2 linked regions of the Astyanax mexicanus genome follow. The protein of the gene in region 2 interacts with the protein of the main gene of each other region in a pairwise test. Links are inferred from orthologs where the notes say so. Each region holds a gene or a part of one and is shown on either strand. Other genes may lie near its edges.

Region 1 (8,178 bases), on a different chromosome or scaffold from region 2:
TTGCGATACTGCCACATATTGATATCCTTGTACACCCCTGCTTTACATAGTTACTCAACTTCTTTCTTTCAGAAGCGAATCTGAATCTGGGGCTATTATATTACACGTGCACTGTAAATGCTAAACCACAAGCTGCTCAGTCCACATCCTCAGAGCAGAAATCTGAGACCAATCAAAACCAACGTGCTAGATCTCAAACAATGACCCCACTCAGTGGATAGAGGAGAACCGCGCACTGCTGCCATTCAGAGCTGCATCTATAAAGGCTAAAAGCCTGTTCACTGAAGCTAGATCCCTCTGAGTACAGACAACAAACAAACGATATTACTCTAGTATATGGGCTATTATTATTACCAGCACGTGCTAATGTTTATTTACGCCATCTTAATAACTTTCCTTAATAACATCTCCATGATTGACATGATTGGCACACCCTGCAACTCTCCCAGCAGGTCCAGAGTGGCGTGCATAAAGACACACAGTGGCTATGACCAACAGATAAGAATCTAATACAGCAGGCTCACCTTGCACTGCCAGCCTCGGGCCTCCCGGGTCCGCGTTCACGAGCTGCTGGGGTCGCTTCTGCTTGCGGCGCGACATGATTCACAGCGAGGGCGCGCGGTGTGAGGGGGGCATCCGCCAACTTTTTCACACGGACGCGGCGGATTCCTAAACAACAAAGGAGGCTCTTCCTCGCCTGCGCTCACCTTGCAGAGGGACGCGCGCGCCGAGACTGCTGTACTGTAAAGTCAGCGTTAATTTACAGCAGCAGCCGCAGCTCGAGCGCGCTGTGTTCCTAAACTAAGCAAACTGAGAACCAAGGTAACTAATAACTAACTGGCGGCGAGTCGCAGACCAGCACAGGAGCGTGACGTCCGCAGTTACTGCGAGATTTGGCGAGTGCGTGTGTGGCTGTATTTCCTCAACAAGTCGCCTCTTTCTCAAACTTGCCCACTGTGCACCCCCCCCCCAAAACACACACACACACACACACACACACACACACAAATACAATCTCTCCTTGTTCTTTACTGACATTTGCATTTCAATGGCGTGGAGCACCGTCTCTTTTTCTTTCTCGCTCTCTTGCATTTCTCACACCACCGAGCCATAAAGCAATTAAACACAGTCTCTCCTTAGCGTGTCTGACAGCAAACTATAATAATTATGTTAGTAGAATCACATAAATCACACCCTCTACCGAGACAAGTCAGGTGTGTTTTATTTTTTTTGTTGAGAAATTATGCTAGAAAAAAAGCAAACTATATATTGAAAAAATATATACAGTGTTTATAAAACATGTTAGCACATTCTCCTTGGCATATCTGACGGCAAACTATAACAATTATTTTAGTAGAAATCACTTAAATCACACATCCTCTAGTCAAGTCACGCGTGTAAAAATATTATTAAATATAAAAAGAAATAATAAAAAATACAGTGTTTATAAAGCAATTAAACGCACTCTCCTTAGTGCGACTCAATATAAACTATATATAATGTCCCAAACACTATTAAAAGCTTTTCAAGAGTACTTCAAAAGCTAGAACCATAAACCTAGCATTTAGAACACTATTATCCAGATAAAACTGCTGCATAATATTTATGATTCATTTAGGGCCTACATTAGTTGACATTTTGTCCTAATATTATGATTCCTTATATGACCATATGTCTCTATTATAATGTTATAAAGTTATACACTTTTGCTTGTTTTTTTATCGAGCTGATATAATGTGTGACTTACCCTCTGAGATGAACAAACTGATGTCTATCTATACAACAGATTTAACAACTGGAACAGGCAAAGAACTAGCTAAGTCATTCAAATGATTCTATGACTAGTCATAAGAACACCTGAGGAATCACGTTTAAAATGCTTATTCCACCTACGTTGAAAAAAATACACTCTTCTGTAGACCACAGGGTGATAATCTTTTTCTTTTTTATTTCATTTTACTTAGTTCTAGGAATCGTTCAACCACAAGTCAGTTTAAGCAGGGAACTGATGTGGGAATTTTCTCAGTTAGTAGGTTAGGTGTTATTGAGTACAGTGTTATATAATTAGGCTAAATGATGATAAACTGAGGTTCTGTACAGAAAGACACAAACAACACTCTAGCTGGAGACAATAGTGTAGAAACTTTAACTTGCATCTCTAACTATTCTCATGATAATGATGATACGATTCTGGACGGATTTGAGTCTGATTGGGGGTACATTATCTAGACCCTGTTCAGGAACTGGCAATCAATGCGATAGTATGCCATATCTTTATAAGTGGGCGAAGTTATGGGAGAATGGACCTCCCGTGGCATCCTCCCAGTGTTGGTGTGTCCGCATATTTGAAGCTCTATTTAAAAGCCACTGAATGGACGGGAATTTCCAACAATGGCGACCTGGACACAGTTGAGTGAGCATCTCTCTCCCTCTCTCTCTGCGCCCCGGGATCCGATGCTGCCTCGCACAAAGCCCCCCTTTCACCTCGCCTGTACTCCCATGCACCACGTGGAGGACGGATGGAGGGAAAAGCCATTTTTAATTAGATGTATCACACACGCCATGCAGCTACAACCGCCCAGGCTAATTTGTACCCCCTGTCTGGCAGAGGCAGCTCCCTGAAACGAGTTCATTAAAGTTACGTTACGAATTGTCATGTAGGCTACATACGAAACACTATATGTCCAAAAGTTTGTGGACACCCCCTCTAATAAATGCACTCAGCTGCTATAAGTTGCACCAGTTGCTGCCACAGCTGTGTAAATACACACACAGAGTTTGTCTAGTCCCTGTAGAGAACCTTTGCCAATACAATAGGACTCTCTGGAGCAGATAAACATGAACCGACTGGCACCATGCCTAATGCCAGGCTTAAGCTAGAGGGGTATAAAGCCCCCCAGCACTGAGCTGTGGAGCAGTGGAACTGTGATCTCTGAAATGATGGTGCTCCATTCAACATTTTTGGGATGAGCTAAAAAGTTGAGGAAGGGTGATGATCATCCAGCATTCTGACCTTCTGACCTCAATATATATCTGTATTGCTCTTCAGCCCCACAGCAATGATCCAAAATCAGCTACACCAACAAACAAAAGATACATTTTATTTATTTATATTTGTAATTATATTAAAAATGAAAAAATAGCAGTTGTCCCAATACATTTGTTTATTTAGTGTGACAGACAATACTCACAGAAATTAGGCCACAACTAATTTTAGTGAGGTAGTTCCCAGTTGTGAACCCAAACATAAAGCATGTTCAGGAGATAAAATATGCCTTATCTCTCTCAAACATGCAACAAAACAGTGTACAAGACCCTGCACATTCTGGAAGGCTGCATGAAAGCAGTATCATACAGTTCAGACATTCTTATAAAATATAAATTGGGAAAAAAGACTAAGAACATTGGCAACTTTGTAACCTATAAGAGAAAATATATATCCTAATGGCTTACCTATTAAAAGTTTGAATTATAAAAACGTGCACACTTCAGAAAACACAAAGTGTTGGGGAACACTTTTAAAGGTGCCCTTACATTAAAAAATGAATATGCTTTTAACTTACCTTGTTTAAGCTTACTAATGAAAGTGTGATATGTGGAACCTGAATACCACAAATCTCAAATACCTTGGGGTTTTATTTCAAAGCAAACTACATACATCCAGCCCACTAGTGAAAGCCTTTTAAGACTAAACACAAAACCTACTTTGTGAGAAGTGAACCCTAGTGGATGCAAGGAACCCTAGTGAACCCAAGGTAAAGCACCTTGAGAGAAGGATTGAGGAAGCACCAAAGCAGGTATGTCTCTGAAGGCCAGGAGGAAGCGCTGCAAAAACAGTGTGATATACAAGGTCCAGAACATCAGTCAGGGGAGAACAGGTAAACTGAGCGGATGCTAGCTGGATGCTATGTTACAAACTAGACCTACTTCACCATTAAGGGCCAGCTATCAGTCTTCCTAAAACAGTATGAGGTATTTTCAGACATCATTAAGAATGAACAGCCAATAAATTGATCAGTTCATCAACAGATCAAAACTAAGTAGTCAGTAAACAAGTAGCACTTAAATTTAATTTAACAATTAAAAAAAAAACTGTGTTAAAAACGATGTGTCAGTGAGTTTGGATTACATTTTTGGGAGAAAAGGAGAATGATGATGCATATAAAAAATAAAAAGTGTGAGTGTAAGTAAAAATATTTGGCCTCAAATCAATAAAGTATTGGAAGTAAAAGCTGTATTATGGCTCTAATGTCCTACTATTCTTCAACTATTGGACTACTAGCCTGCTTAATCGGCTTATATTTGGTAAAAAAGCCTCTAGCGTCACTTCTAGTTCATCATTTAAAAGTATGTCATTAATTTGTTGGACACTACTGGCTATTACATTTTTTTTTATAAAAACAAAACATTAAAGGCAATCAATTTTCATTAGGTAGAAACAAAAGGGCTAAAAAAAATAAATAAAAACAAAGATTCGATTTAAGATTCATTATTTACCTTAGATACAAGTGCAGATTTAATAAGCATGCTTTACAAATGAGTTTAGCTTACTTTAATACATAATTTATGTAGGCATAGGCACTCCCAACATTTTCTGTCCCACTTATGTTTAAAAGTATGTCGAACAGGTCAATATAAGTTAAAAACAAAGTGCATACTATATTACCTTTATTTGTGCGCTTGCTTCAAGCTTCTTTTGTTTCGATATGTTGCATTTTCATGCATAGATGACAAAACTAAAGTACTTTCTTTTCCAGATTTTTGATATATGACTTTGGAGTTAAAGTAAAAACGAAAAACCTACTTAAGTACAGTAACTATTCACATTTACCATGTTACTGTACATTTACTGTAAACTTACTGTACTGTACAACCCTTTTATTTCAGCCAATCACAGAAGAAATCGCAATAAATAGACCCCGCCTCCATTCTCTTTGTTAAAGCACATAAACATAGCAACTAGCCACCAGAGCTAACCTAGCTAACTAGCTACCTTCTAAACGAGCTCACTAAAGAATGTCAGGTAACGGTTAGCCAAAAAGCTCTTACATGATTAAAGACTCAATACATATAAATAATTACAGCCACATATTAAAATACGTTATACGTTTTATGTTGTCAATTAACTATGTTGGTTGGTTTGTTTATTAGGCCAGGCTAACTTTAACTACAAACGTAGCTAGCTATTTGTGTTACTTGGCTAACTAGCTTGGTTAGCTAACTCGTTAGAAACTAGCTAACCAGCTGAGTTAGTTAGCTAGCTGAATAGCTCCAAAACGGCGCTGAAACTAATCGTAGTTCTGTTGACATTTCCTGATATTTAACGTAATTTTATCATAATAACGTTAATAACAAAATTATATAACGTTAATTATAATTAATGTGCTCTTTGTTTTAGTCATGTCCAGGTTCGACTACAGTTTGCTCTGTAATTTCCCGAAATGTCGAGCCAAACTGAGCGGGTTCGCCTGGGTGACGGCCTGCTCCCATGTCTTCTGTGATCAGCACGGCTCTGCAGAGTTCAGCCGGACTCCCGCCATCTGCCCCGCTTGCTCCTCCACACTGTCGGGAAAGCTGGACATTGTACGCACGGAGCTTTCTCCATCAGAGCAGTACAAGGCCATGGTTTTAGTAGGATTACGACCCGAGACAGTCCTGGATATCAGTCATCGAGCACTGGCGTTTTGGACGTATCAGGTTTGCCCTGTATTTAAATTCACGAACCTGAACTGATGCATTGCTTATATACACACACAGACTCAAAGGCTACTTATATCAGCTATTGGGTCAGTACTCACCTGATACACTTATAACGTGCTTCAGGTAAACCAAGAAAGGCGGCTGATGGAGTGCAGTTTGTCTCGGGCTGAGGTACAAGTAGTTCAGATGGAGAAGGTGATTGCTCAGCAGAACCAAACCAGAGAGCTCGAGATAAACGCACTGAGAGAGGAGATTGCATCACTGAACAAGGTTTTTTAACGTTTACTTAATTCAGTTAGCTAATTTACTGTTCATTTTATTCTTAGTCATAAGTAAGAGGCAGTTTCCCATGCAGGGAATAAGCATAGTCATGGACTGCACAGCATTTTAAATAGAGATTAGTCTCAATCCCTGGCTGGGAATAAATTTACATTTCTGACGTTTATGACTCGTGTGGTAATTCCAGTGTTTATACCAAACTATACTACACCCTAATGTATTGGACAGTTTGAGCGGTTTCTAGACAGGTGTAACTGAATCACATAATGCACATAAAACAGTCATTGTGGAACAGCCAGTAGAACAGTGTTCTGCCCAACCCACCCCACTGACACCTATACAAACTCTGCACCCAGCACTTAACTTTATACTGCATCAACTAGACTTTCCCATATTATCCTACATACAGCATTCTGCACCCTGTAGTTCCCACACAACATATTCTGTACCTGCACTTTACTCACAGCTATTCTGTCATCTATTGGACAATCTCCTCACTTCCACAAACACACTCTCTAGATATCTGCACATCTATATGGCATCATATATTTATATATTCAGTCTTACTCAGCATTTGTAAGTATCATTTACCAGAATCTTGTAATGCACTTAATACATTAATGAGTATTCATTTTTACTACATGTGAATTATTTCCTAGTTAATCAAACTCTAGTTATTATTATAAGCACTGCATACTGATTCTGAATATTATCTCCTTATGTCCAGAGGCTGGTCGACTATAAACAAAAGTACAGTGAGGTTTCAGAGCTTTTGATTAAGAAGAATAGACAATATCAGAAGCTTCAGGGGCTGTTTGAGGCATTGCGGCTGCGTCCCAGGTCAGCTGGCTCAAGAGATGGACTGCACCATGCATCTCAAGCCTTTGCCACAGGTCAGTTTAAGCATTGGTAAATTGAAAACAGACAAAAGCAGGTGGGTGTAATAAAGAGGGAAATAAGAATGGGAGCAGATGTGTGATCAGTTGTATTAAAGCTAAAATTTACAAGTTTGGATCATGTTTTACAGGATAATCAATTTTAGTGTAGAACAGAGTAATATATAGTAGATAATGACATTGGTCCTTTTACTTTCTCCCTGTAGGACTGGTTAGACAGCACTCACCCCATGGCAGTCCTCCTTTCCTATCTGTGGGATCAGAGGGTGACAGGCTCTTTTCTGTAGAACCAGAGAGCTTTAAGAGCTTTTTCCAGTTTAATTCTTCTCCAAGAGACAAAAGTAATTCCTTTATGAAGAAAAATTGATTACAGTGCAATAATGTATGTTGTGACATGCATTTGTAGTTTCCCCATATGTGATTGTCCAAGTAATTTACATGTGTATATTTTCCCTATGTTGAATATTTCAGTGTTCTTTGGGTTACCTAGTATGTACAAATAACAGAGCAGTTAAAAGTAAAAAAGAAATCTACAGTATGAATATTCCTAAACTGGTAAAACTGTTATCACATACACATGCAAAGTAGGTATTAGTAAACATTTGAATACATCGATTTCTACCAATTCTTCAATATTTCCACTTACCTTAAGATGTCATATATATGGTGCTTTCTTACATGTTTGTCCACATAATTGTAGTGACATATGCTACGACAAAAAGTCCTGTTTTGTACTGCTAGTTGCCTGGATTATTCATAAGGTAGTAAGAAAAGCATGATTGTGTAATAGTTTCTGTGTGGACACCTTTGTAACAAAACCTACGTTAGGGCAGTGTCCAAGAAAGAAGAAGAAAAAATAAGCCTAGTTTTGGACTATACAGCACTTTGAATGTAGATTTTCAATTAAAATGGAAAAATGTTTACAACTAGGCTTAATTAAAATTGCATACAATAGATGTCTCTGTTGTTTTAAATGTTAGATAAATTAAAACAAACTAGTCACTTACAGGAAACTGATAGTAGTGGAATTTCTGTGTAAAAGCTGAAATTAAAATGCTGTACTCATCAATGTGTCAAATTTCACAAATTACACCAAGGTTTCCTTAATCTCATTAACAACTCTTTGACAAGTGTGTCGGGAGCACCATTGGAAGAGTTTTATTTTCTGGACTTCAAATGCAAAATAGGCAGCAGCAGTATGTTTTACAAACATCCACCAACCTCAGACAATACAAACAAAAATATATTTATATATGTACAACCAATATAAACTAAAACAGTAAACACTATATACAAAATGAAA
Region 2 (8,137 bases):
CTATTGACTAGCTCGCTTACCTAAAGAGCTTCCAACAAGGGAGCTGAAGTTTCTCAGTGAGCAATAATACAGTGGAATAAGTGAATATGGCTGTGGTTGCAAATGAAATATGTGTCTATTTAATAATGTTCTATTATGGAAAATGGCTAGAGATGCCCATAGAGGGACTTTCTGCACTCTACAGGCTTTCACTATATATTAAGTGCTTGAGAGCATGCAGACTTTTTTCCACTCACAGCTTGATGATGTGTGGATGTCGGAACAGCTTGAGGTTCTGGATCTCTCGTTTGATTTTGCCGACCACATCGAGACTGCGGATCTTCTGCCTGTTCAGAATCTTAACAGCAACTTTGTGTCCTGTAAGCTGGTGCTCTCCAACTGTTAAGCAAAATGAAAACAAACATACCCAAACCAATGAAACCTCAGCTGCAACAAGACCACCAACCGTTTCCTATAACACAGCTGATGAAAGATCAGTGTGAAGCCAAAAAAAAACAAACCAAGTGCCATGACACCCCAGCAGCAGTTTGTTTTATAACACCAGTTACAGTAACAGATTCTCTATACTGTTAACCATTAGAGGCTGCAATATTCACTAGTGATAACAAAAAGCATATTGATATTTATTTGTGAAATAATGAATATAAATATGCTATTTGTCACACTCTTAACACTCTTTGAATTCAGTGGGACATTTAGTTAAAAGTTCCACACATTCAGTACCCAATTATATTGTGCTTCTAAGCAGAGAAAAGATCAGTACAATATAATTTGATAAACTACTGTTAAATGTGCAGTAATTTTGTCATTTAATATCAAAACAAGATGGAAAAAGTCAGATGTGCAGGTGTGAAACACAACATAAAATTGTGTATGTAAGTAATTATGTAATTACAGGTATTGGTATGTAGTATAAACTAACAGCAAAACAGTAATAATGACCTCACACAGTATTTATATCTCATATAATGACAGAAGCTTTGTAAAAGAAAAATACTATGCTCAGGGAAAAAACTGTAATAGTTATAGTTCACCACATAAATGCTAAAAGGATTTACTACCCCTGCCTTTATGCAGTGAAAGTATGTTCAGGCAAAGTGGTGTGCTTTCCTGTAAGCCGTCCTTCGCAACACACGCCCCTCAACTTGTGAACAAATGTGTCCCTGGTTGGACATTTAACTCCAGTGACACCCCAGGCATGCAGAATTGACTGAGTCTACCTCACTGCCTCTGTTACTCTGACACTGTCTGACAGGCAGTCCAATTTCTGGTTTTACGGTATGCCTAAAAATCATCAGTATATATAGAAAATATTAACAAAACAACAGCAACAAGATGCAGGAATACAAGCTTAAAGTGTTTAATAGGTACACAGCATTAGAATTGTGTATTTGTATCAGGCCAATATCAGCAGAAAATGCTGTATCAGATATAACAAACAAAAAGAGCTTCAAAGAGTATCAAAAAGTGTAATATTAGTAATATTAGTTAGTAATAATAGTAATAATATTAGTAATATCATTACTTTGAGATACTTATCTTACATGAATTGATTAAATTAAAAACAGATCATTTTAAAGCTTTGTTGTAATAAATATTGGCTGTGATGCAAAAAAGAACCAATAACATATTGATAAGAAAACATCTAGTTTAACTTTTTGTAGTTATTTAAATTAATGTTTAATGTAATTTAATTATGTTTTCCTGCAAGGCAACAATTTAACCCCTTTTAAATGGGTTGCACAAAAAAAAAGCTTAAAGGCTTTTGATGTCATATTTTTACCCTTCGAGGTAGGGATACACAAGTTTGGCTGAAACTGTCAATATTTTTTTGTTCTATGATATATATTGTGATCTTAAAAAATACAGGAATTTTCATCAGAAGTCACAAGAAGTCAATGATCCAATGTATCACAATGTTAATAATATACTTTGTGACAAAGATTGGAATAAAATAATTTCTTTAGGCAGACATAATCTGCCTCTGTAAGATGTATATTGGGAAAGTTAGGGGGTGTTAGCACTTAATTAAATTTGCCTAATGTGACATTATGCATCCTGCGATGGGACTGTTGTGCATGTGAACATTGTGATTATGCTAAAATGATATCTTGTACAGACCTACTTTGAGGGGATAACTTTACAGTTTAAATCTTTGGTTTTCCTGCACTTGAATGCATGTCACTTTTTCATTACACCATATTTCTGCCTCAGAGCAGAGTTGCTATCGTCTTATTTTGCGGGTCTGTTTCTACAGAAGGAGCTTTTTAATGAAACAAGGTGAGATACTAGCACAATGAAATTACAGAGTTTAACAACAGCTTCAGGTATAAGGGCAGTTAAGAGTACATTTAATTAACAAACAATGGATACAGTACAGGATCCTGTGGGGCACAGTACTGTGTGGTGTCGTTGTTGTGATGCATTGTTAAAGAGCAGGGGAGTGGATGTGTGGAGCTGATTTAGCTCATGGAGCCACTCACACTGTGGCTCAAACTGACCCCAAATTCCTTCACTGCTTCTCAAGGTCATTTAATGGGATGTCCAGCTGGGGGTAATAAAGGGCTGCTTGGTCACCATGCCAGTCCTCCTGCTCTTATCTTACTCTGATCTCATCTCCTTTATTACTGTCTTATTACCAGCACTGAGGGGCTGCTCACACCCTATGAGAATAGCATCAGCATTAAGAGCTGTTAGCTCACGTGCTAATTAACTAACCCTTTAGCATGAAATCAACACACCATTGTCCAGCACACACAGATAGCACCAAATCTACAGTGGACATATTGGACCTATTGTTTTGTCAACATGCCTTTATTTATAAGATTAGGACAGTATAACAGTATTGTTTGTAATGTAAGTTAGGTTTATGGGGAAAAAATAAAAATAAAAAACAACGTAGACAAAATATTACTGACAGATCAAGAAAGAAGCGTTTATTATTAATAATAGTAATATTTTAATACTAATATTACTGCAACTAGCTATTACTACTATTTTGTCTACACTGGTATTGCAGACATAAAGCTATAAAACATGCTACGACATAAACACACAATTTGCCTAATTTTCACAACTGCTGCAAATTACAAGGTATGCATTTATTAGGCAGATAATCCTGTGATAAACGAGCCCATGCATGTACAGTAACAGCGCCCGCAGGCTTTGTTATTTAGTGCAGTGCATTTTTTGCAACCCCCTAAACTTAGCCCCAGAGTAACGCAGCATTAACACTCGTAAAAAGGCTTATTCCCCAACAGCGCTACGCCACTTCTCTGCTCCAGAGCCGTTCAATCCGTAGCGAACTGCGTGAAAACTCGCTGCGTAAACTACGTAAACTCTCCGCCGGCAAGTTCAACGTTATTAACGGTTACGGTAAAAACACACACAGCCGCTATTCCACAACCCGAAGCCCCGCCGCCTCACAGAGCAGCCAGAGCACAGCCCAGACACTTAACTCTTCACTTTGCCGAAGGTGCCCACTCCGAGCGTGTCCCCCAGGATGTAGTGTCCTATCTTCACCCGGCCTTCGTGCTTCTGCTTCTCGGCCATTTTACTCTGCGGGGCAGCAGCTCGCTGCTCGCTTCGGCCGGCGAGAGGAGGGGGGCGGGGCTCCGCCCGGCGCGCGAGCGGCTTCAGGTTCACCCGACCTCAGATCAGCATGACCGGAGAAATGTGCCTCAAATTTAAGACCCCCGACCAAAGCCCACAGATCATAGGTCAGACCCGAGAGAGAGAGAGAGAGAGAGAGAGAGAGAGAGAGAGCGTGGAAAATAGGGGAGGAGCCATGGTGTCAACAACATAACAAGCACGCTACACAGACACCTTCTCACTATAGTCCCTTCAGATAAAAACTGTAAAACTGTTATTTACAACATGAGCGTGCTCTCTTATGCAGGTGAAGCCAAAATATGTATAATTCTCCACGTTCACCTTACATTTTTTACTTTAAACTATACAGGGTCTTCGTTTTTTTGTTACACAGGGAGTCCTCCCTCCTCCCTGCTGGTGAACCCATTGCATTTAAGGGCTTTTAATTCAAATAATCAAACCATTTTTTTGTAAAATACTGAGTAGAAGTTTAATTCATCCCAATTGGCCAAGAAATATAAGGGCCATTCGACCGAATGGATGCCATTTCTGTCCCCAGGGCAGAACTTTGAGGAAAATCATTATAATGTGCTCAGTGTCTTCATGATATTAGCATAGCCACCATTTAGCTATTTTTCATGTTTTTGCTAATTGTATGCTAAAAACTAATCCCTGTTACATAAATAAGTATCAGTAACAGGAGTGATTTCCAGTAACAGTAATAAGTAATATTTTTTTTTGTCATAAATACCCATTATTTGAACATTAAACTCAGTGTCAGACTCTGAATTTTCACATTCTGAAAATATCTTCGTCTGCCTCTAATGTAGTGTTACAGCTGGAGAACCCCCTCTCTCTTCCATGATAAACTGATCAGGACCAAGACTGAACATCTGGTTATACCAGCAAAACCATCTATTCAACACAACTTTACCATAACCATTGACTCACTCTCTCTCTCCCTAAAAAGGTTGCTAAGAACCTGAGTGTTCTGGTTGATGACCAGCTCTCCTTCACACACCATGTGATTGATATAGTGATTCCCACTATTTTTCTGGGGCCTCCTTTAGGCCCTGTTTTTTAACCTTGAACATCTATTACTAATGTAATGTAATGATTACCTGTGGTCTGGAACCATACTGACAGAGCTATATGTTTGTCTGCTTTAAACAAGTGTTTGTAGAGCCAAATGCCATCTGAGTGTGTGACAATGTGGCTAATTTTAGCTACTGCCTACAACCAATGATTTTTATCAGTATTTGTGAACACTAATTGCTTCTTCTGAGGGTTGTTATAGTATACAGCAGAATAAAACTGGGTTTATAATCACTGTACTCATATTGTGGTAGAGACAGCACTGTTAGTAGCCTAAACATCCTGTGAATAGCTTATTTGCTCTAATGATGAATTTTTAGTTAAGGTTGTGTTAACATTTGTGATATATCTAAACATTTCACACCTTCCTTGATGCTGCATTTAAAAAAATGTATGTATTTTAGGAAAGCCTGTGCTAGCTTAGCTTTATCAGCTTCTTCATTTTTCCATGCTGAGATTTTTTTAGGAGACCTTTTGAGGTCTTGTTGAGCCCATGCCTCTCATGATCAGAAATGTTGTGGCGGCGCAAAGAGTACATAATCAGTATCAGGCTTGTTGTATTAATGTTATAGCGGGTCACAGTGAACCGAACCTGGACTTGGAACAAAAAACATCAGACTATCCATTAAAAGGCTGAAACTAAACAAGACGCTTCTACAAGATACAAAATATACTTCAAACCTTTTTGGTGGACTTCCTGAACATACAAAACATTTTAAATGATCAACAACAAACAGCCTTGTGTTGTGTATATTAGTGGACATCTGTGGAGAAGAGTGGAAATGATTTCCAACTACAGCTGGAAGACTTTTAACTTCTACGAAAACTGTGTGATTGTGTAAAAGAGTTTGTATAATATCTGTTGTACCATGCAGAATAAGCGTGTATAGAAGATAAAATGTACTGATGTGTATTATATTTAGTAATGTAACCAAAAAATGAGTGAGTTAATTTGATATAATTTCATAAAAAGCAGTGTCAGTAATATTCCAGTTGTGAACCATTATGACCACTAGATGGAGGAGTAGGATTACTACTGAGAAAACCAGAGGCGAACATTTCAGGCAAAATACCACTGACTAGTTCTGTATAGAGAAACCACAACAGTACTATCTGCTCTTGCCTTTCTCTTCTCCTCCCTCATTTCTATATCGGTGAATGCAACAGCATGTTGGGTTTAATTATTTTATTCACAATGTATTTTAAAATATTTTAAAAACTACTATATCATTCTTATTATGCAGCACAATTAAAAATACTAGTGCGTTAGTATAGATAAGAAAAAGAATGACACAATGCAATGAAGTACAACACTGCTATCTAGTGGTTGAGGCTTAAAAAGTAGGCAAAATGAACCACTGTCTGACTTCAATCTTTACATTTGAACTAATAAATAAATGTCAATACTGAGTTTTTGAATATGAATTTGCAAACAATATATTGCTATACGTTCATATTGATATTTTCTTACAATACATTAAAAATACATGCTGTACAATACAAAAATACATGCTGCATAACTATCACTTACAACAAAGTTTGAATATATTTTAAAATATGATTGTGTGATTTATAAAACATACACACAATGCAGAGAAAGGGTTCACAATAATACTGCAACAGTAAAACAGTACGAACATTCAGAAATGTGTTGTTTTTTGGTCATTTATTGTTTATAAATACCGATTTGCAAAACAAACTATTGCTATATTTTGATATTGATATTTCCTTACACCTCTAATAAAAATACATGCTGCATAACTACCACTTACAAAGTATGAAGAGATTTTTTACATTACATTACATTTGGCAGACGCTTTTGTCCAAAGCGACTTACAATAGTGATGTACATTTAGTAATAGAAGACATAGAAGTTCAAGGCAAAAAAAACAAACAAAAAAAAAACCCATTTAAGACAGGGCCCAAAGGAGGCCAAAGGGAAATAGTGGGATAGAGGAGGGAAAAAGAGGGAGCAGAAAATGAGGTTAGAAGTAGTAAGTGCTCTTTGAAGAGCTCAGTCTTCAGGAGTTTCTTAAAGGTAGCGAGGGACTCTTAATTCTCACACTAAAAGCTGACGGGCTCAGTCAACTCTTGAGAGCTGCTCGCTTTGTTAACTATGAAACAAAAGGACCTTTTGGCCACGCCTTATTGGCTATGATTTAATTAACTCGTTCCCTCGCCTTAATTATCTGGTTCCCACGCCTTAGGATCTCGTTTTCATGCCTTAATAAGGCATGGCCACGCATTATTATTATTTTTTTTTTTTTTTTACATGATGTCACTTTAGGGGCTCCGTAATAAAACATACACACAATGGAAAGGGTTCACAACAATTTATAGCAAAACAGTTTATAAGATCAAGGAATTAAAACATGTATTAAAATTTCATCATCAGAATATGAAGAAAAGTGTGTGTGGAGCTTTGTTAGACGTCGTTAAACTCGGGTATAAAGAATATATTGTTCAGAATAGAAGAGTTCAGCTCTTCGTTTGGCGTCTTTCTTTCTTTCTGTCTCTAACCTTCTCAGTGCTTTATGACCGCCTGTATTCCGTGTAGCCCCGCCCTTCTGCGCAATGATTGGCTAGGCGATTCGAGACTCTGCTCCTGATTGCAGCATTGCAGGAGCTACCAGCCAATCGCAGCGCGGACAGTCAGAAGGACACGCTTCCACTCCACTCAGTCTCAGAGCGAGAGGGCGGGGCCTGCCTGAATACGGGTGGCAGGAGGAGCGCGTGCTGCAGGCTCGGAGCGTAAGGGCTGAGCATAATAATAAGCATGCAGGTGGGTCTGGAGGAAGGGGGCTGAGCCTGCTGAAGCTCTCTCTGCTGCACACGGAGAGAGAGAGAGGGAGAAGGAGGAGGAGGAGGAGGAGGAGGAGACGAGGGAAGGGAGTCTTAAAACTGGAGTTGAAGCTCCTGCGCTTTTTAAAACGCCGCTCTCGCTCTTCTCCCCTCAGAAAGCCCTCCAACACTAGAGAAGTGGACTCAAGTTCTCCTCCACTCACTGACTTACTGACTGAAAACACACACTGACCGGGGGGCTGCTGTCTTCATCCCACAGACCGAGAGACGGTGACCGTGAGGCGGGTTATTATTCACTCTACACACCGGTTCAACGGTTCAACATTCAGCAGGACTTCACTCCTCCTCTGAATATCAACTTTTAAGGACTTTTTCTCCTCAAACGAGCCGGACCTCGCCTCCCATCTTACCTTCTACATTTATCTATCTTTTTATCTGAGTGACTGACTGAGTGAGCAAGCTGAGTTTGTGCTCGTGTGGACTGAGGTTTCTGTACAGCAGGAGGACGGAGCTCTCACATGCCAAAATACATGTATGAGAAGGCGATGGCACCCGAAACAAGAAACGGTGGAACTGCGACGTTAAATAGCAGCACTGGCATGAACAAGAGCAAGAGGAAAATTTTAATAGCTCTAGACATCTTCTGCCT

What was found. The genes of interacting proteins can lie anywhere in the genome.
Region 1: the proteins of prkaa2 (region 2) and E3 ubiquitin-protein ligase CCNB1IP1 interact in binary tests that used the Homo sapiens proteins (3 or more experiments, as listed by UniProt). The two-hybrid records come from large-scale screens. The link is inferred for Astyanax mexicanus from reciprocal best matches to the Homo sapiens genes PRKAA2 and CCNB1IP1.

What each region holds. Positions count from the first base shown.
Region 1 is NC_064415.1:23,510,848-23,519,025, reverse strand, and holds E3 ubiquitin-protein ligase CCNB1IP1, read left to right. Parts: upstream 1-4,934; 5' UTR 4,935-5,016; coding exon 5,017-5,023; intron 5,024-5,398; coding exon 5,399-5,697; intron 5,698-5,823; coding exon 5,824-5,970; intron 5,971-6,706; coding exon 6,707-6,872; intron 6,873-7,081; coding exon 7,082-7,242; 3' UTR 7,243-7,486; downstream 7,487-8,178. Other genes in the region: si:ch211-212k18.5 (sal-like protein 2), read right to left, coding at 525-600. UniProt on the Homo sapiens protein: Ubiquitin E3 ligase that acts as a limiting factor for crossing-over during meiosis: required during zygonema to limit the colocalization of RNF212 with MutS-gamma-associated recombination sites and thereby establish early differentiation of crossover and non-crossover sites.
Region 2 is NC_064408.1:61,610,589-61,618,725, reverse strand, and holds the start of prkaa2 (5'-AMP-activated protein kinase catalytic subunit alpha-2), read right to left. Parts: upstream 3,716-8,137; 5' UTR 3,553-3,715; coding exon 3,459-3,552; intron 379-3,458; coding exon 237-378; intron 1-236. Other genes in the region: plpp3 (phospholipid phosphatase 3), read left to right, coding at 8,007-8,137. UniProt on the Homo sapiens protein: Catalytic subunit of AMP-activated protein kinase (AMPK), an energy sensor protein kinase that plays a key role in regulating cellular energy metabolism.